Rattus norvegicus: one gene and its partners. The protein of the gene in region 3 interacts with the protein of the main gene of each other region in a pairwise test. Links are inferred from orthologs where the notes say so. Each region holds a gene or a part of one and is shown on either strand. Other genes may lie near its edges.

Region 1 (5,949 bases), on a different chromosome or scaffold from region 3:
CTCATCTTCAGAGCTGACATCAAGGGCTTCTCCAGCAGGCAGCAGCCTTCGCTTGGTGGGGCAGGGGCCTGGAGGTCCAGGGCCAGGGGGTGTGTGCTCGGGACTGTGCCCATTGGCAGTTCCATGGGACTCCCTAGGCCAAGGGTTGCTCCCGTTGCCCACCCTAGCCACTGGGCTCTTACCCCCTATTTGTGCAAGATTGTGCAAATCAGTGTCAAGTGTGTGCAGCTGGCCTGAAGGGGCTGGCCCTGGAGACTCCCCCAGGCACCCCTGTCCCCCTTGATCTGGGAAAGCCCAGTCTCTGGTGTGCAAAGTATTGCAGGAAGCATTTGATGAGGGCCAGGGGGTACTCTGGGTCCCTGAAGTCCAAGATGAGGTGGCACTACCTCCTTGTTCCACAACACGGAGGCCATGGTGGGAGAAATGCTGGCTAGCCACACCCAGTCCCAGACCCAGTCCCTCTGGGCTCACGAGTCCCACAGTAGATGGTTCTTCGGGGGGTAGTCCCTCTCTGGCCCCCAGCCCAGGGCCTCTCTTCAGCTCCCGGGGACCCTCAGTGGAAGGGGCCGGCCGCTTCAGAGCCCTAGGAGGCTCGGAGACGCCAGCTGAAGGGGAAAAGATGGATACCTGGTAGACCCCGGGGGATGTTGCCCCCCCTGCTGGGCTGTAGCCCATGAGCAGGCCACCCTGGAGGGTCCCCTGTGTGACTGGAGGCTGTGAAGGGCCAGCCTCTGGCTCTGAGGATGGAGACAGCTCCGCCTGCACGTGGCGCATGAAGCCCCCCTTGGGTCAGGGGGGCCCCCCCACACGGCCTTTATGCTGGGCCTGGGCTGGGAGGCCTGGGGACATCTGTAGGAAAGAAAAACAGGAGGTCAGGAGAATCAAGGAGTCTTCTTTCTTCCAGCAGAGTTTCAGATCCTCCCTCTCTCCTCAACAGATGACTTTGAGCAATTTGTTGGGGGTAAAGTTGTCCAAATCCCTGGACAGACCAATGAAAGTCAGAGACCACTCTCGGAACTCCTGGGAGGGGCACACCTTCTCTTCCAGTTTCCTACTGGACTTGCAATACACCCCTCCCCTCTTTCCTGGAAGTTACCCCGATGAAGAAGCCTCAAGCCTGGGCGTGTGTCCTCTTTTCCTGTCTGATGTCTTGTCCCTCTAGCTTGCAGTCTGGTCCATGCCCACTGCACCGGCAAGGTGACTGCCACCATTCCGCGCAGCTCCTGGGCTCAGTTGGACCCTGAGGGAAAAGAGGAAATATAAGCTGGGATCCCTGCAGCCAATGGTAAGATCCCCCCAACACTAATATGGGCTACTATATCGGCACATACACCAAGATATCTTCCCGCTTTGGGATAAACTCTTCAGGAATAGAAGGGGCAGGCTGGAGACCTAGGGCACATGCATAAGAATTGGGCTACCTGAGGACTCAACACAGAAGCAAGTCTTGGCTGACTGTCTTAAGGATGTGAGAAATGAGTAGAGGCAAGATGAACCACTTGTCAAGGCCTCCATCTTGGGAAGTGGCTCTGCATAGTGGGGTGGGGGAGGGGGGGAGGGGTAAGATGCCTCAAAGATCAGAGAGATTCCATGTCAGCTAGTAGGTGGACAGGGTAACAGTGTTCTTCTCTTACTCAAGGCCCTCCAATTACACAACTCATCTCCATATGTCTATACAAAGGGGCAAGTGCGACTCCAGAGTGCTAAGAGCAGAGGTCATGCAGATAGGCACACCCCATCACACAACTACAAACCCCAAGTCAGCTCCAGGCCAGCCCTTCACACTTAAAATACTAACTTTCCCCAGAAATCTGTCTTTTTAACAGAGAAAAGAAATCCAAAGCGGGGCAGTGGTGGTGCTGGGATTGGTGGTGCTCACCTCTAATCCCAGGACTGGGAAGGTAGAGGCAGGCCGGTCTCTTTGAGTTCAAGGCCAGCCTGGTCTACAGAGAGAGTTTCAGGATGGCCAGGGCTATACAGAGAAACCCTGTTACCTTCACCCCCTAACCCCTCCACCCCCAAAAAAGAAAAACAAAAAAAAACAAAAAAAGAAATCTAGGGCTGGAGAGATGGCTCAGCGGTTAAGAGCACCCGACTGCTCTTCCAGAGGTCATGAGTTCAATTCCCAGCAACCACATGGTGGCTCACAACCATCTGTAAAGAGATCCGATGCCCTCTTCTGGTGTATCTGAAGACAGCTACAGTGTACTTATATATAATAAATAAATAAATCTTTAAAAAAAAAAAAAGAAATCTAACCAAAAACAAGGGATGGAAGGAGAGAACTGTCAGAAGGCACTTTATAGTTCCCACCCCTCCCCCCAGGCCCTGCAAACCAGAGATAAGGAAGCAGCAAGCAGTCAACTAGAAACAACTGGAGTATCTCCCCATGCCCCTCCCCCTCAGGCACAACCAGTACTCAAAAAAACCTAAAGCATTTCTTTGTTGCCATGGCACAAAAATGGTCTTCACAGACCATTAGCCAATATTTCAGTGACCAGACTGTCAAGTTGAAGGCCAACAGTCCCCACTGTCATCCTTATTTGGTCAGCAGTCTGTGAGGAATACCAACCATAATGCCCTTTATCATAATGCTAGAGGCTGAGGCAGGAGGATCTAAACCAGTCTAGCTACATTTTGAGAGGTCCTCTGTCAAAATCAAACAAAACAAAAATTACAAAAAGAAACAAATGAAAAACAGGTTACAGCCGGCCTTCACACTCCACCAGACAGTTAAGGTCAGACGGTTAGACGGGGCTACAAGACATCCTATCTCAGACAAAACACAAAACCAACAAAGAAGCTGAAGGGTGGTAGTACACGCTAGTTCACACACTCTGGAGGCACAGCCAGGCAAATCTCTGAGTTCAAAGCCAGCCCAGTGAAAAACCTGTCTCCAGAAAACAAAACAAAACAAAACAAAAACTAGAACCAAGCCCAACAAATATAACAAAATACCTTTTCCCACCCCTCTTTCACGGATATCTCAAAGTCATTCCCCTCCAAAAGATCTCTCATCTCAGACTTCCATAAGACAGTGCCACTAACTACTTTCTGTAACCCGGTAATACTTCCGTTTACTTCTGATTATGTCACACCTGAGGATGGGTCTGTGTTTCTTCCCCAGTCCCATTTCAAGCTCAGGAGAAACACACATCAGAATTCAAAAAAGCCTAAATACTAGCACTAGTGATTTGGTCAGCAGTCCTGACAGTGTAGAGAAACACTACGGGTGAAGAGTGGAGAGATTAATTGTACAGGGGGAAACTGCAGCAGCTCATGTGGTTGTAGGAGACGGAGAGAAAGGTGACATTTACACTTAGGGACTGAGAAACTCTCCCACATCAACTGTTGCCTTCCTTTCAGGCCATACTTTGCCATTTCGCCAGGTCCCCCTTTGAATGAGATCCTAAGAATATTCTGGTCCTTCCCGTGGGTGAGATGGCTAGAAAGTGGAGAACGTCAGTAGTGGCAGTGTCATGAGAGTATAACCTGTTCTCATTTCTTCCCTGCCTGTTCTCCACCCAGGCTTTAAAGTTCAAGAAGGGCGTTTTCTTGAGCACCCCAATTTCCAGGTCATCTCAGTTGCCCTCCTGAGCTCTTGCCTCAAGGAAGCCAGGTGATGACATGATGCCCTACTTGACCCCAGCATGCCTGGCATCTGCTCATTAATCCAGAGCCCTATTAGTTCCCTCCCTGTCCAGAGACGCTCTAAGACTCACTCCTCTGCCACCCAGCTTCAAGCTGACTCATGGGGAAGGACTGCAGGGAGAGGGGACAGGCCAGTATAAGCCAAACCTCGCCCTCTACACTGGGGATGGGCAGCAGCTGGCATTAAACAGCTGTGCCAGACTGTGGCTGCCAAGGACTACAGCTCCCAACATGCCGAGAGCAAGGTCAGCAAAAACAACAAGTCCCAGAATACCATGAGGTCTGTACCCTCAGATACTTGTTAGACTTGGGAGGTGGGAGAGGTTGTGGTACAGGAAGAACACCTAGGCTCATTCTATCCTTCCCTTCAGTTTCAAGACACCCATTTTTACCCTAACGAGGTGGGGGAAGAATTCCTATCCATGTGTTTTCCACTCTTATCCTAGGCAGAGTTCCGCTGCTCACTGCTGTACATTTTGTCCTCATACATGTCTATACACGCTAAGGTGACTGTTCCCAAGACCACTGCTGTGAGTAGAAAGGTCAATCTCTGCTTTTCACCTTCCCTCCCTCTGACTCCTGGCCTAGAGCCCTTCACCCTTAATAGAGAGGGAGCAGACCTCAGGGACCCCTCCAAACTCAGACACGGAGACTCACCTTGGCTCCTGGACTCCTTGTCCTGGACGATTTCCCCCCCACCCCCTGCTCAGCCTCCCAGGTCGGTTCTCATCCCTTCTTCACAGGCTGGGACAGGCCCCATACCGTGCAGAGGTTTTGGAGATCTGATCCTTCCACCTAGTACACACTCACCCCACTCCCAAATTGGCTCCGCCGCGGTGGCCGCTGCTCCGGGCCCTTCCGTCCCGTCCCCGTTCCGATCCCTGTCCCTCCCCTCGGATAACCAGTCCCCCCTACTACGGGCCCCCAACCCAGACAAAGGGTGGCTTAGGCTGAGAGCCTTGCTCTGCTTGGCTCTTCTCTGATCAGCTTCGTGTGCAACACTAGCGGGCTCTGGCGTACGCAGCCCCTCTAGCTGCTGTTGCACCCCTCCCTGCGACGGTCCCTCCCCGGGGCCGCCCCGGCTCCTCGCCGCAGACTCAGCTGCCCCTCTGACTCACAGGCCATTTCCTACCAGCTGATGGGGCCGCCCGCCCCGCCCAGCGCCCAGCCACCCCCAGCACTGCGACCACGGCTGCCACGCCCCCCTCAGACCACACCCTCCAAGGGCAACAACTATGTTCATTGGTCCAGTGGAGGCCAGCCTCTCAGCAACCTCAAGCGTGAGTCACGCCCTCTCCAAGGGGCGCACGCCTATTGGTCCACATAAGGGCAGGCCTACCCAATGTCGCCCCGCCCACCTCCTTAACCCTTTTTTCTGTCCAAGTCCTAAGCAATTCTCTGCCCTGTCATTTAACCTCATTCAGACTTCATCCTCTCAGCGCTCAACAAATCTTTCTCCTCCACACTTCCTGTTCTTAAGTAAATTAATAGGAAGCTCCAGGGCTTTCACAGATACAGTTCAACAATCTCCAACTCATACCAAACACAACCACACATAACCCCAAGCCCATTCATCCCCCCACCCCATCCCGAAATAGAGCTCCAAGAGCGTTGTTGCTATCTAGTAAGCTTTCTACAAAAGCAGGCAAAAAAAGACCTAAAGTCGTACCGTATCTCCATCCATACTGAAAGATGGCATTCGCACCCCCCTCCCTTTTGCCTTTGTTTGGAGACCCCAGGAGGCTCCTGAGATAAAAATACATTTAAATTTCAGGGATTCAGGCCTCATCCGTTGGGCTCAAAACTCTTCACGGATCAGGCTTTGGAGCACTCTTTGCTAACAGACCTCTGCTCCAAGGAAGCAGAGTATCCTCAGCAGTGAGTTAAAAGGCCTTCTGCCCAGAGTCAGTCTGGAGACCAAGTTAGTCTTCATGACTCACAGCTCCCTCGAAACTCACCAAGCTCCCCTTGAGTCACTGGGCCCCAGGCCCAGCCCAGAGCCAGCCAAATTAAGCAGTAGCAGAATAAGCATCCCTAACCTTTGTCCTTAGCTCTGTAAATAATCGGGGTGGAATTTTTGCAAGGCCTGGACATTCATAGACACTTTTTAGAGGGACTGCTCTGGAGATAACCTGAGAAGATGGGTAGCCTTGTCTACCTTGTCCTCTGAACTTATCAGTGGGTCAGACAGGTTGTCACCAACTCAGGCCTTTTCTCAGTCACAGAAATGGAACAAACAGCAGAACCAAAAGAAGTAAAGGCCTGTGCTTTGCCTATGCGATGAGCCCCAAGGACCAT
Region 2 (6,148 bases), on a different chromosome or scaffold from region 3:
CTCTGCCCCCAGGCCCCCACTTTGGTGCTCCAGGCTATGGGAGCCCCCATTTCACCACACTCTACTCGGTCCCTTTTCCTGAGGGCGAGGCCTTTCCCTCTGTTCCTGTCACTGCTCTGGGCTCTCCCATGCATTCAAACTGAGGCACCAGCCCTCCCTGGGGATGAGGTGAGCCAAGGCAAGGAAGGGAGGTAGACAAAGAGAACCTGAAGCTTTGGGGCCTAGATTCTTTTACTGGGGAGGAATTGAAAGCACAAACAGGGGTGGTTGGGGGGGCGGGGGGGGAGAGATGAAGTTCAGTGACGCTGTTGATCAGGAACCCGTCCGAAGTTCTTAAGTTCTTAAATAAAGTCTGGGATACACAGTAGATAGCTAAATTTTGTTTTCCTTCAGTTCCTAGAGGGCCTGAGGATGGAGAAAGCCAATAATGGAATTCTCAAACCCAGGCGGTCTTCAGAACAGGCGCCATTGAAACCGTGGGAGGTTACGAAACGCCCAAAGGGTTATTGGGGGTTGGAGGTCAACCTATAGAGGAAGGTATTGTGTGCCTGCCATCCTAGAGGATTTAAAGTCTGCCAGCCGAAGGATCTCGTCACCTCATCTTGCAGACTTGAGACTCAGTGAATGCCCCGATGTAGGTGAAGCAGTTTATTCTTTATTTGGAAATCAAAGGCAAAGCTCCGAAGAGCCAGTCACAAATACCTAGTTGGTGGCAGGATTAGCTAGCCTTGGCATGAGCGAAACCTTGGGGCTGTGCTCTGGGTCGTCCAGGGTGCGTTAGCCGATGCCGTTCAAGAACATTAGGGTTAGGGTGGGTGCTCAGTACAGGGGACTTGCCTGGTATGCTGGCCTCAGCAAAATAAGAAGACATTTAGCACCCCTTCTTAATGCCTTCAGGGATGGTTCCTGTGATTGATGCTCTAACTGTAGGATCCTGGTGTTTGTGGAAACGGGGCTTTACTCCTTGTTACTTAACTTGGAGGCTGCAGCTCTTTTTCCTGTCACTTCAGCCATAGTGCTCTCCAGCCTTGAGTCAGTCTTCTCTAGCAGTGGACCTCTCCCTGTGGTCATTCCCTTTGGAGAAAGACGTTTCTCAAAGTCCATGGTTACTTTTGAATGAGTGGTGCTTTGCGCACCCGCTCTCGCTCTCTCTCTCTCTCTCTCTCTCACTCACACACACACACACACACACACACACACACAGCCAGCTTCAGCCCTTCAAGCCATTCTTTAGTCTTCCAGTGTGTGCTGTTTGCATGTGTATCTGCAGGTCAGAAGAAGGCATCAGATCCCTTTTAGAGATGGTGGTGAGCCCCACCATGTGATTGCTGCCAATTGAACTCAGGACCTCTCTCTGGAAGAGCAGCCAGTGCACTTAACTGCCCAGCCATCTCCCAACTCAAGATCCATTCTAACACTGTCTGACTCTGAGTTGAGGGAGCCACATCTGTGCCCTGACTGCAAAGTCAAGGTGCCAACGTGGCACCCTGGGTGCTACAGCCAATGTGGGTCATATGGTACCAAATATCACAGCCATCACACCAAAACCCAGGCTACTTATAGCAGCAGCAAGACACTACACAGGGTTCCCCACCCCTACGGGAGTATTCCTGGAAACACACTAGTGTTTCCGTTCTGAATGCTCTATCCTGACTATTATTTACCTGAGGCATTTGAGGCTAGCCTGGGCTACACAGTGAGATCCTTCCTTGTGTTTTTAAAAAAAGTAGAATTGGGTGTCTCAAGCTGTTCTTCCAGAGAGTATCTGGGTTTGAACCCCAGTACCTACATAGTGGCTAGGAACTACCCATCTAGTTACAGAGGACCCGTTGCCCTCTTCTGGCTACTGTTGGTACTGCATGAACAACTCGGCAGTCAAAACAGCCATGCACAAAATAAAAGCAGCCCTGGGTTAACCTGCTTTCTAGTTTTGAGACAGTTGTTGGGGTTGGGGATTTAGCTCAGTGGTAGAGCGCTTGCCTAGCAAGCGCAAGGCCCTGAGTTCGGTCCTCAGCTCCGGAAAAAAAAAAATGACATGAGAGACAGTTGTCTATACAGTTTTTTATATATGCTGCTGGGACTCCAACCCTGGGCAAGTCAGAGGGCATCCAATCTCATTACAGATGGTTGTGAGCCGCCGTGTGGTGGCTAGGACTTGAACTCAGGACCTCTGGAAGAGCAGTCAGTTCTCTCAACTGCTCCAGCCTCCCAGATTTTTTTTTTTTTTGATTATGATGTGGACCTCAGACTCACAATGTTGTAGTCATCATGCAGATTGTTTTTATAGTCTAATCCTAACTGTTATTCCCCACCCCACCCCCCCAGCCTTGCACATAGTGGCTCTCATGCATCTGTGGGTGAAGGCTAGCCCAGGTGCATGCTGTGTTTGTGCACCCCTCTCCCCTGCCTTCTGAGACCTCACAGGGAGGCTGTTCCGGAGTCTAGGGTTCAAGGTGCTAACAAGGTTAATGCTGGACTCTACTTACCCACTGGATATCAGAGCCGTTTTCTCCAAACGCAGCTTCTTCCTGGGCTCCATCAGGACTGAAAGGTGCCCCGGGGAAGCCTCACTCTCATCATCCAGTTCTGCCAACACTTTATGAGCCGATTTCCTCCGGTTTCTTGTGGGTGGAGCGGGTGAAGCTCCCACTTCCCCTGGCTGAGTGGGAACGGCCAGGCTCTGCTGCCGGCCACCGCCACGGGAGAAGGTGAGAGGCTGGGGCTGCAGCTTGCTGAGGCTGCCGATGGAATTGAGAATCAGTGTGGCCTTGGGGGCAGAGGAGAGGGTGCTGAGTGGCCTCTGAGGTGCCCCTTGTGGGGGCAGCATGGGCTGGAAACCGGCCCCAGTTTTTCCCTTGGACCGAGGGACCGTGATGGCGGCAAAGTCCTGAGGTTTGACCCGGACTTGTTGGAACATGAAGTAGAATTCGGAGGAGCTGGTTCCTGCTTGCCCTTCGGGGCCAAAGGTCAGGAGGTCACCGTCACTCAACTCCAGCCTGTGTCCCCTTGGGAGTCGGACATTATTGACCAAAGTCCCTGTTAATGGTGAGACAGGAGACAATTGACAAGAACAGGAACAGGCTTCTAGTCAGAAGTACCATGATGGTCTGGCCATTCGAGCCCCCCCCCCCCCCCCCCAAAACACACACCAGGAGAACACAGGGTCAGGCATTAAACTCCAAGAAGCAAGCTTATTTTTCTCCATGACAACGGGAGGCTTCCTTTCTGGGCTTAGCTCTTCTTGGATAAACAGCCCTTTTTCCCCCCTTCCTAAGATTCCCAGAACCCATGATTCCTCCTGCCTCAGCTCTGAAGTGCTGAGATCAGAGTACACCACCAATACTTGCCTCTTGCTGTCATTTTCTTTGTGTCTCACACCTAACACAGAATAAGACCTAGCCTATAACACCCTGAGCACTCACTTGCCTGTTGGGGACTAATGCCCAGGACACATCAGATAGGGCTTCTCCAAACCTGGTGTTTGACCTAACAGGAATCTAAGAACTGAACCCTAACCCCAGCCTTGGGGGGTGGGGGGGCTGCCTTGGGTTAGGACAGAATGCCTAGGTCACTAGAACACTCATAACTGCCTTAGTGACGGCAAGGTGCAAACAGTCAGATCTGAGCTTAATACTAGATCCATAGAATTTGATGAAAGTCAACACACCCCTCCTAGGTCCTGTGTGAGCTAAAACCAGACAAACAGGTTAGTCCTGTGAAGAGCTGACAGAAGCATAGTTCTCCTGGCCAATTAAGACTGGACCATGACCACTCGACAGAGACTGACAGGACTCTGGGAAGTACGAAGCAGGTTCCCAGAGGCTCCCCTTTCTCATGCCTACCTGGGGGCTGCCTGCTCACTGCTTACCTTGGCTGCTGTGATCCTCCAGGCTGACCCTCCAGTCGTCCCCTTGGAGTTCAGCATGCAGTTCTGCATGGACCCCAGAGATGAGGCCAGGCTCCTGCTGGGGCCGCAGGGCCACATCACACAGGTCAGCCCTGCAGCCCAACCGATAGGTGCAGCCAGACTTGGATGGGGGGTGGAAGGTATAGAGATCACCGCCCCTGCCGCCCCCTATGCGCAGCAGCTGGAAGCAGGGCAGCATGGGGGTGCCCCCTGTGCACCACTCCTCCCACTTTAGCAGTCCATTCCCCTCTTCTACTCCTGGGTCATGCGCCGTGGGCTTCGGTTCAGTTCTCTCCGATGCCAACTTAGGAAGTGCAGATTCAGAGCGCCCAAGGCCTGGACATGCACCACAGCAGAGGTTGTCAAGATGAGGTTTTAAGAAAAAACTCTAGCAAAGTCCTGATGCGATGCAAAACCAGGAAGACGTCCTACGGCAACACAGTGAAGCCGGATCCCCAGGCCGCTCAACATCCGGGAGCCTTTGACAATCTGTGCAGGGCAAAGCTAGTTTAATCCGCAGCTGGGAACATGCAGAGGGGGTGAAAGGGGTCCTGCTACATAAACGTGCGTGCGACACGACCTTGTCACCCTAAGTGTAACCTGGAGCCTGAGAACTTATGGTCAAACTTGCTAATCTAACTGGGGTACCCCTTCCATCCTCCCCCGTTCTTGGGGCCAGTTCCCCTGAGAAAAGTGAATCCGCTGTCACCCACAAAGGGCGGTGCAGACGGGTCCCTAATTCTGTAACAAAGTGGATCTCACCCTTTCCTTTTTTCGCTCGCGGGGTAAACTGAGGAAAGAGACTCAGCACCCTGGGCGCCGCGCTCCCGCCGCGGTTTGACAGCCAGGGAAGCCGCCCCGAGGGCGCGGCTTGGGTGGGCGAGCGCGCGCGCGCGCGCGCCGCGCAGACTCCTCCCTCGGAATTCCCGGGTCCGACTTTCGCGCCCGCGAGCCTGCTCCCGCGGTCTGCTTCTGATTGGTCATTTGAGTTGCGTCCCTCTGCTTTATTGGTCGGTGCGTGGGCAGGGGTTGCCTATCTCCCGCCCTCCGCCACTTCTGATTGGCCGGCACGTTTTCCCGGGTTCCCGGGAAGGGGCGGGGCTGTCAGGGCGCGGAGAAGATCTTGGGCGTCGGTGTTCCTGCGTGCACCTTTCTTCTTCCTATTTCCGGTAGGGGAGAAATGGTGCTGTAGAGCAGCCCGCCAACACACCCGCTTCGCGCATGCGTGATCAGGGTGTGGCGTCTAGACTGGGAGCTAGGTGTAAGGGGCGTGGCAAGAGGGCGGATCTCGCGCTGGGTAAGGGGCGTTCGGGCAGAGTCAGTTGGGGGCGGAAAGAGTCTGAGAGGGGGTACAAGGGGGGCGGAGGGGGGGTCCACAGGGCAAGAGGGGTGCAGGAGTCGGGTCAAGGGACAGATGAGGAGGTCAAGACAGCCTCAGAGTTCAGGGTGGTCCTGATAGGGTTGAGCCAGGAGTGTGTGCGGGAGAGGAGAGGGGGGAGACAGGACAGGGAGCCACCAAGATAATTCCATCGAGAAAGATTCAGACTAGGACTTAGGACTAGGAAGAGAAGCGGGTAGGAATTTCGGGGGTCGAGTGAAAAAAAAAAAAACTTGAATTAACGGAAGTGGGGGAAAGGAGATGCTGTAGGACTCTGAAGAGAGGTGCATCGGGGATGGAAATCCCCTAGGGGATAGAGTGCAACTGAAGCCAGTTACAGAGAGGCACAGATGAGTTAGCAGGAAGCTGGCTTCCCAGCAACGGGCTTCCAGGCTGCGCGGGTTCCTCCCTCGGGGATCCTAGGGAAGCCGCTTAACCCCACATGTGGCCTCATTCTTCTGGGGCCAGGCCTTGGGCTAACCCTTTAATAGGAAATGACCCAGAAATCGTGACTCGATGGTGCCTAGATGGGCTTCCCAACGGGCCTACCATTCCGTGGCGAGGACTGTGGAGACTGGGTTCCCTATACTGTGTTCAGAGAGTCCTGAGCTGCAGGGACCGTAGACACTTAAGGAGGAAGGTAAAGGCAACACCCAGAATCCTGTAAGTAGAAGCAAGCCTTCATCTCAGCAAATTTACCTTAGGGTTGTCGCCTGGTTCGTTAGAGCATGGTTGGGACAAACAAGTGGTTTGGCTATGGTCTGTCTTCTTAGGGAAGTAGGAAAAGAGAAGCCTATGGCCGGATAGACCTGCCAGTAACTTAAGGATTATGACTTTGTTGTTATAGGGCTTTCTCTTTGGAA
Region 3 (7,866 bases):
CTGAAGGCACGGAGAACGCATGCAGCACACATGCATGAGACAAACGCTCATGCACATAAACCAAAAATAAATAAATGTTAGAAAGTAGCTGGTAACTGTGTGACTAGCTCTTCGGCATGCAGGCGCCTGTGTGAAAGCAGAGAGTAAAACGCCATCCTGGCACACTGACTTATGTAATAGAGGAAGTAAATAACCTGTACGACTTTGGTTGTTTGGATTTACAAGTCAGGGTTTATGAAGCCCCGGCTGTCCTGGAATGAGCTCTGTTCACCAGGCTGGCCTTAAACTCAGAGATCCCCCTGACTCTGCCTCTTGAGTGCTGGGATTAAAGGCATGCGCCACCACTGCCTGGCTTTGTTTTTTGTGGGTTTTTTGGTTTTTTTGTTTGTTTGTTTTGAGAGAAACTGGCCTTAAACTCACAGAACTTTGCTTGCCTCTGTCTCCCAGGACTGGGATAAAAAGGCATGCACAACCATACCTGGCCTGCCTGCTGTGCAAGGTTTTGAGGGATTATGTAATGCACTCATGGCAGTTACTGCTATAAAAAATAATAATGATGATGTTTTCCTATATAATTTTCATTTATTTATGTCATAACTGTGTGGTCAGCATGGTATACATGTAGAGGTCAGAGGACAACTTTGTGGAGTCAGTTCTCTCCTGTTTAAAATGGTTTTGGAGGAATTAAACTCAGGTCACTAGGCTTGGTGTCAAATGACTTTATCCACTGGGCCATCTTACCCACCCCTTTTCTTTCTTAAAGCAACATTAACTGATATCACATTCACTGCATACCAAAGGCATCCAAAACTCTCCATCTTTCACAGGTCATTCCACAGGATCAGCTGTTTGTGACCTGCCTCAGCAGGCTGTATACCAAGGCAATAAGAACCACACAGAATCAACAACGATTTGGGTTGAAGAGATAGCTCAGTAGCTAAGAGCACATACCCCTTTTCCAAAAGACCTGAACTCAATTCTCAGCCGTGGCAGATGGTTCACGCTGCCTGTAACTATAATCCCAAGGGGATCCCTGCCCTCTGTGAACATCTGCATCACATACACACATACACATGCACATGCACACACAGTGACCAGCAATCTTTCTACAGTCTTGTCAGTAAATCTGAGACCAGTACAGACCTGATAATAGGCTTTCTTGATATCCTTCTGGCTGGCATTTCGGGGTACTCCCAGTATCTGGTAATAATCATCTTTGGCCAAAGAAGCACTTGTGTGGAAGGAAGCAGTACAAACAAAAGGGAAACTTTTTGTTCCTGGAAATGAACAAGAAAGTAAGTTGGTCTGGGACTTTATCCAACAAGAAGAAATTATAAGTAAGTGACCAGCTATGAAACACCTGTGAAAGAGGAAACGAGCCCCAGCTATAGGGCCTATTCCCTTCGAGTACTCTAGAGGCCAAACTCAATGTTCTTCAAATGTGGGGAAAGCTTAGGGACATAGTTCAGTAGGTACACTGCTTACCAGGCCCTGAGTTTGATTCCCTGCACTGAATAAACCCAGCACAACAGTGACGATGAGCACATGCCCACAGTCTTAACATGGGGAGAGGGAAACAGAGGATCAAAAGTTCAAGGTCGGGGTTGGGGATTTGGCTCAGTGGTAGAGCCTTGCCTAGGAAGCGCAAGGTCCTGGGTTCAATCCCCAGCCCTGAGGGGGGAAAAAAAAAAAAAAAAGTTCAAGGTCCATTCATAGCTACACAAAAGTTCCAGGCCAGCCTGGTACATATGACACCAAACTACAAACAAAAACAAACAAAAAACATTAGCTAGAGAGGCTGAGCACATGTAGAAAAAAGGAGTAATAATAAAAAACGAGCAGGAATAATCAGAAATAATCAGAATATGATTTAAAGGGGGGGCTGTTATTGTTTCTTCAGTCACACCGGAGAAAGCATGAGACCTGGATCTTGGTGATCCTATATTCCACCTCTTTGCTCAATATATGCCTAGCTGTATTCCTGTTCTCCTCACTCCTTCCACTGTCAGGAGTTGAGTCTATTAGTGGCAAAAGTTTGGCAGCTGTACCAGCTTCTACAACACCATCAGAGAGCTCAAGGAAACTGCACAAATAACCACAGGCAACTATTACATGGTGGATGCCTTTTCCAATTCTGAAGGTGACAATGATTAGCAACTGTTAGGAAGAATCTTTTTTTTTCTCCAGAATATGTCCAGTAAATATCTTGCTGTTTTTGAACCCAGAATAGGATCAGTCTTCATATTATTCCAAGAAAGCCTAATCCAGTAGCCAGTTATTAATTTCTTTCTAGTTGGGAGATTTCTTTCTTAATGACTTGTTTATTTCATATGTTTTGGTATTTTGACTGAATGTATGTCTGTGAAGGGGTGTCAGATCCCCTGGACCCAGAGCCACAGTCAGCTGAAAGCTACCATATGGGTGCTGGGAATTGAAATTGAACCTGGGTCCTCGGGAAAAGCAGTCTTGAGTTCCCAACAGCTGAGCCATCTCTCCAGGCCCTGCTTGGGACATTTTTCATGCCATATGATTTTATAAATCAGTCTTCAAGAATGATCACAGGCTAAAGTTTGGGGCCAAATTGATGACTTAGATGTGGTAGGATACACCACTACAGGATGACACTTTCACATCTATGGTCACTTGAGAGATAAAATATGCCCACTGCAGCCTATGGGCTGACTTGAGGAATGCCAACGGTGGTTCTTCAGTAATGCTTCCATATATAAGTAATACTTAATGCCTCTATGTCTCTCTCACACACGGATACATAATTTAAAAAACGCTTTAAGGCATGCATGAGACCCTCTGTTCTTGATCCTTAGAACTACCCAAAGTAAAGTTCAGGACTTCCTTCCTTCATTCTCACTGAAAATGAAGTGGAATAACATAGTATAAGAAAATATCGGGGTTGGGGATTTAGCTCAGCGGTAGAGCACTTGCCTAGCAAGCGCAAGGCCCTAGGTTCAATCCCCAGCTCCGGAAAAAAAAAAAAAAAAAAAAGGAAAGAAAAGAAAAGAAAATATCGTGGCAGCTGGAAAGATGGCTCAGCAATTAAAAGCACATACTGGGGGTTGGGGATTTAGCTCAGTGGTAGAGCGCTTGCCTAGGAAGCACAAGGCCCTGGTTTCGGTCCCCAGCTCCGAAAAAAAGAAAAAAAAGAAAAAAAAAAGAAAAAAAAAAAAAAAGCACATACTGCTCTTGTAGAGGACACAAGTTCAGTTCCTAGACCCTAAGTATAGCAGCTCATAACTGCCCATAACTCCAGGGGGATAAGATGCCTCTAGCCTCTTTGGACACCTGTACTTAAGAGCACATACCCACACATACACACACATATACATAACTCAAAATAATTAAAAAATATTTTTTAAAGAGAAAGAAGAGAGCATGGCTAAAACATGTCAAGGCTTAATGCACACTAATTTGGTATCATCTCCAGCAGTAAGGAAGGTTAAGGGCCATGCAGAGACTACCGCTTTTTAGCTTTGTGACTTTCTCAAGTTTTGTTTTTTTTTTTTAACATGCAAGCCTGTTTCTCCATAAAATGTAATGGTAACAATGCCTGTCACATTGAAATATTTTCCAGGAGTGAAATCATACTTCCTACACAGTGTTTAATAAATGTTAGATTACATTATTACACTCACTGACTTAAAGATTCTAAAAGACTGATGGATGCCCTTCCATTTACACCCCGTGATGTTGAGGATGAAAGCTATGAAATGACAATTCATCACACTTTCCCACCTTAATGAGGACAAGCACCTGTATCTCCCTAAATTTCTGGGTGCCTAGCACTCACTAAATGGCAGTTACATCTTCCACTACAAGCTAGAACGTGAAGAAAAACGGGGAGGGTTATGACAAGGGAGTTGCAGCCTGGACAGAGGGGTGAACTGTTGACAGGTCTTCATGGTATTCGGAGCCTTTCAACACCTCCAGCTCCACGCAGCTCTTCCCCCTCGACGGCTTCTGGGTAGCCAGCACCTTGGCCTCTCTGCCTCCTGCTTGCCTGTGTCCCCAGAAATTCCTCTCTCTGGCCGGAAGACACCTCCATCCCGCTACCCTGGTCGTCAGATGGAGGCGAATTGCCCTTTCTAACCCCAAGAGCTGCTACTCCAGAACTGGAAGCCTCCCTCACCTGTGAGGCGGACACCGGGTCTCAATGTCAGCAGCGCCCGGGGGCCGTGAGCGCCCATGGAAAGCCCGAAGGCAGAGACACACAGCTTGCGACACAGGGATGCTGCCACTACGCCCCCCTGGGGCTGCTGGACCCCTCTCCCCGCTGCAGCCGGCAGCCGGGGGGTCCCCACCGCCACCCTAAACCAGCGTGGGGAACACCGCGCAGCCATTTTGGCCCGGGGACACTGCGCCTGCGCAGACCGCCCCTAGCCCGCCTCGCCGGTCGCGACTTCCGGAGGCGAAGCATCTGCTGCACGCAGAGCGTAAGCATTGCGCACGCGCTTCCGTCTCCGAACGGTAGAACTCTACGTCAACGTGTACAAGTGCTAAACTATGAGGATGTCAGTTTGTAATTTTTCCCTGTATTGGAATTTTTGTGATGTACGAACGAATGCTGCACTTTACTTGTGAATGTTGTGGTTGAGTGTAGCAACCGTAATCCGGCGAGCCTTGCCCTGGGAGGGACTACAAATCCCAGCAGACAGCGCAGCGTCAGTATCAGATTCCGGTATGCCGCGTGCGGATGCCCTCCCTTGACCCTGAACGTTACCTCTTATTTCATGTTCTCTCAGAAAGCCCTTACCCCGGTTGTTGGCTGCTGTTTTTCCGTGCCTGATTCCCTCGCAGCTGAACTTGAAACACTCAGGTCCGTCTTAAGCATGTTAGCCTTCTCCAAACCTGCAGCGAGAATTCAATGAGCATTGTGAATGCCTATTATGTATTGTGCACCTGCTGTTTGTTATCCATGTTCTAGAATTTAATGTAAGAGCAAACCCGTACTAGAGGAGCAAACTCGCCTCATAGGGACAGACTTCTTATTAAGTTAACAACGGTAAGCGCTACGCTATCAGAGGTGCATAGTTACAAGCATGCCGGTGTACTCAAACTCGTTAGACTTGGCTGGAAGAGAGGGAGGTGGACTGTTAAACTTTCTGTGTTGTAATGTCTATGGACTGTTAAACTTTCTGAGTTGTAATGTCTATAACTGGACTTTGATGAAAAGAGTATCGAGTACAGATGTAGATTTCCAAGTGATGAGTGCAGCAGAAGTTGCCAGATGAGATCGAGGTAGGAGGATCAGGAGTTCAAGATCATTTTCAACTATATAGCAAGTTCAAGATACTCGGGGCTACATGAGACCTCATCTCGGGTCCAAAGGAGACTCCAACTTCCCAAACTCCAAATATCTAGAAAAGGACTCAACCTGTAGTACAGGAAGATTTCTAGTGGTAGGATAAAAACCAGCAATGGTGTCGCATACCTTTAATCCCAACACTTGGGAGGTAGAGATAAGTGGATCTCGCCGAGGTTGAGGCTTACCTGGTCAGCCAGGGCTACACGGAGAAACCCTGTCTCTGAAAAAAAAAAAACAAAAAACAAACAAACAAACAAACAAACAAACTTGTAAAGTTGGTTCCCTGTATCAAAAAGAGTCATTCTCCTTATTCCTGGCAGAAGGGACATGTGACTATTTCTGGTGACTATTAGCATACCAAAGCACATCAGGCCTTCAGGTTCCCTTAGTACCATAAATACCAGTTACACATTCCCAGCTCTTCTCATCTCCCTACTCCAAACTCCCCAGCTCACGGGTTCCCCTTCCTCAAGCTACTCATTCACCTTATAACCCTGCTGTTTTCAGTGTTTCTCTCTCTCTCTCTATCTCTCTCTCTCTCTCTCTCTCTCTCTCTCTCTCTCTCTCTCTCTCTCTCTCTCTCCTCTAATGACCAGGTCTAGCATACTATGGAGCAGTCATGCCATCAGTTTGTGTATATATATATCAAAGCTGGTGTCTGAAGGTGTAGGAGTGTATGCTAAAACCTTACCTTTAGTATGTAACTGAAAACGAAGCTAGAAAGCTAAATTGGGCCTGGTTAGTTGTGAAAGTTAAATTTTTCACCACCGTCCCAAATAAAAGGAAGGGAATCTGAGGGCTCATGAATGGGTTTAGAATGATCAATGGAGACACCACACAATGCACGTGCGTGCACACACACACAAATGTGCATGAGCATGAGAGAGAGCACACTGCCACTTTCTACTCCCAGTTTTGTACCCAGAATTTGTGTGTATGTTATCCCAGGTAGATATCCATAACCTTCACCAGCCAAATTCTCAGTGGATTCTGAGACTCGAGTCAAAAACTACCAATCAGGTGCTGGAGAGATGGCTCAGCGGTTAAGAGCTCCAACTGCTCTTCCAGAGGTCCTGAGTTCAATTCCCAGCAACCACACGGTGGCTCACAACCATCTGTAATGGGATCTGATGCCCTCTTCTGGTGTGTCTGAAGACAGCTACAATGTACTGATATAAATAAAATGAATAAATCTTTAAGAACTACCAATCAAGCGGAAAGCAGTTACAGAGCTATTGTAAAGTGCATGGAGAGCTCCTGTGATAGCCTTGAGTCATTGATGTGAACGAGGAGCATCTCGGTCAAACAGGGAAGAAGGCGCAGGGGCTGAGAGGGAACAAGAGTTCCTAGCATGCACTCGGCAGCAAATGCATCTAAATATCCCCAGCACAGTGACTAAGAGCAAGAACTCAGGAAAAAATGTGGGAGCTCCTCCTCTCAAGTCTTAGTCTCTGCTGTATGCACTATAGAAACTCCATCCTTCCTTAGAGGGCCCAAGCTAGTCTCCAACTTGTGAGCTCAAGCCAGCCTCGCACTCACTCTCGAAAACTGCTAAGACTACAGATGGGCACCACGGAGCCTTGCAAGAATCATTTTTTTTTTTTTTTGGTTCTTTTTTTCGGAGCTGGGGACAGAACCCAGGGCCTTGCGCTTCCTAGGCAAGCGCTCTACCACTGAGCTAAATCCCCAAGCCCCGCAAGAATCATTTTTATTGGAGCTAGAGAGATGGATCTGCAGGTAAGAGTTCTTGCTGCGCTTCCGGAGAACCTGCCTTTGATAGTCTGCTGTTCTAACGAAACTGTCTCGTAAGTTTCTGCTGCTACTAGGAAACTTTCTGATGCCAAGATTGACTACATATTCTGTTCTGTTCTGTGCCCCTGGAAACCAATCATGACAGAAGTCGGTAGAACTGTTTTGTAAGTTTGGCCCCGAACCAGCTACCCAGCAGCACTTACTGCACCTGTGTATAAGCTTTTATGGTCCACGCTGCCCCTGGGATGGACCCCAACATAAGAGAGACACCCACACCAATATAAGAAACTATTTGGAATAAGATTTCCATTCCATTTCTTGAGAATAAGAAGTCCCAAGACCTTCCTGGGAACTGACAGCCTACTTAGCAGAAAGAGACATGTATGTGGGTAACTGATATCCTGGTTGACAAATTAAGACATGAATGTTAGACAAGGCAAGTCCCTGCCACAGTTGAACACCCCAACCCATGGAAACAGGATAAATGTACAACAAAGACATGTTCCTAAGGAAGTCTCCTATCCCTGAATCCTGATTGGCGAAATAACTTGGCACAAATGTTTATAGATTTTTAAACCCTGTAGGATCTTAACTTGGGGTCATGGTTCAGTTCCTGAATCTGAACCATGGTCCTAGTGGACCAGTCCTGGGGTCTATGCTCAATAAACTATCCTGTCTGACTGAGATGGGTGTCTGTGTGGTTTGTGAGGCTACTCCTGGACCCCAACATTGTGCACATACAGATGAGAAGGCAGGAATACACACGTGAACAAAAGTGAATGTCTCAGCAGTCA

What was found.
Region 1: the proteins of Dnaja3 (region 3) and Atosb interact in binary tests that used the Homo sapiens proteins (3 or more experiments, as listed by UniProt). The link is inferred for Rattus norvegicus from reciprocal best matches to the Homo sapiens genes DNAJA3 and ATOSB.
Region 2: the proteins of Dnaja3 (region 3) and Tcf19 interact in a two-hybrid assay, tested with the Homo sapiens proteins (2 studies listed by BioGRID and IntAct). The two-hybrid records come from large-scale screens. The link is inferred for Rattus norvegicus from reciprocal best matches to the Homo sapiens genes DNAJA3 and TCF19.

The regions. Positions count from the first base shown.
Region 1 is NC_086023.1:62,059,875-62,065,823, forward strand, and holds the start of Atosb (atos homolog protein B), read right to left. Parts: upstream 4,740-5,949; 5' UTR 4,462-4,739; intron 4,449-4,461; exon of another isoform or gene 4,309-4,448; intron 2,013-4,308; exon of another isoform or gene 1,422-2,012; intron 1,241-1,421; 5' UTR 1,097-1,240; intron 850-1,096; 5' UTR 775-849; coding exon 1-774. UniProt on the Homo sapiens protein: Transcription regulator that may syncronize transcriptional and translational programs.
Region 2 is NC_086038.1:3,222,055-3,228,202, reverse strand, and holds Tcf19 (transcription factor 19), read right to left. Parts: upstream 4,740-6,148; 5' UTR 4,670-4,739; intron 4,397-4,669; 5' UTR 4,107-4,396; coding exon 3,869-4,106; intron 3,037-3,868; coding exon 2,487-3,036; intron 1,075-2,486; coding exon 1,068-1,074; 3' UTR 634-1,067; downstream 1-633. Other genes in the region: Pou5f1 (POU domain, class 5, transcription factor 1), read left to right, coding at 1-143; Cchcr1 (coiled-coil alpha-helical rod protein 1), read left to right, coding at 5,728-5,925. UniProt on the Homo sapiens protein: Potential transcription factor that may play a role in the regulation of genes involved in cell cycle G1/S transition. May bind to regulatory elements of genes, including the promoter of the transcription factor FOXO1.
Region 3 is NC_086028.1:11,382,213-11,390,078, forward strand, and holds the start of Dnaja3 (dnaJ homolog subfamily A member 3, mitochondrial), read right to left. Parts: upstream 4,388-7,866; 5' UTR 4,356-4,387; coding exon 4,145-4,355; intron 1,278-4,144; coding exon 1,144-1,277; intron 1-1,143. UniProt on the Homo sapiens protein: Modulates apoptotic signal transduction or effector structures within the mitochondrial matrix. Affect cytochrome C release from the mitochondria and caspase 3 activation, but not caspase 8 activation.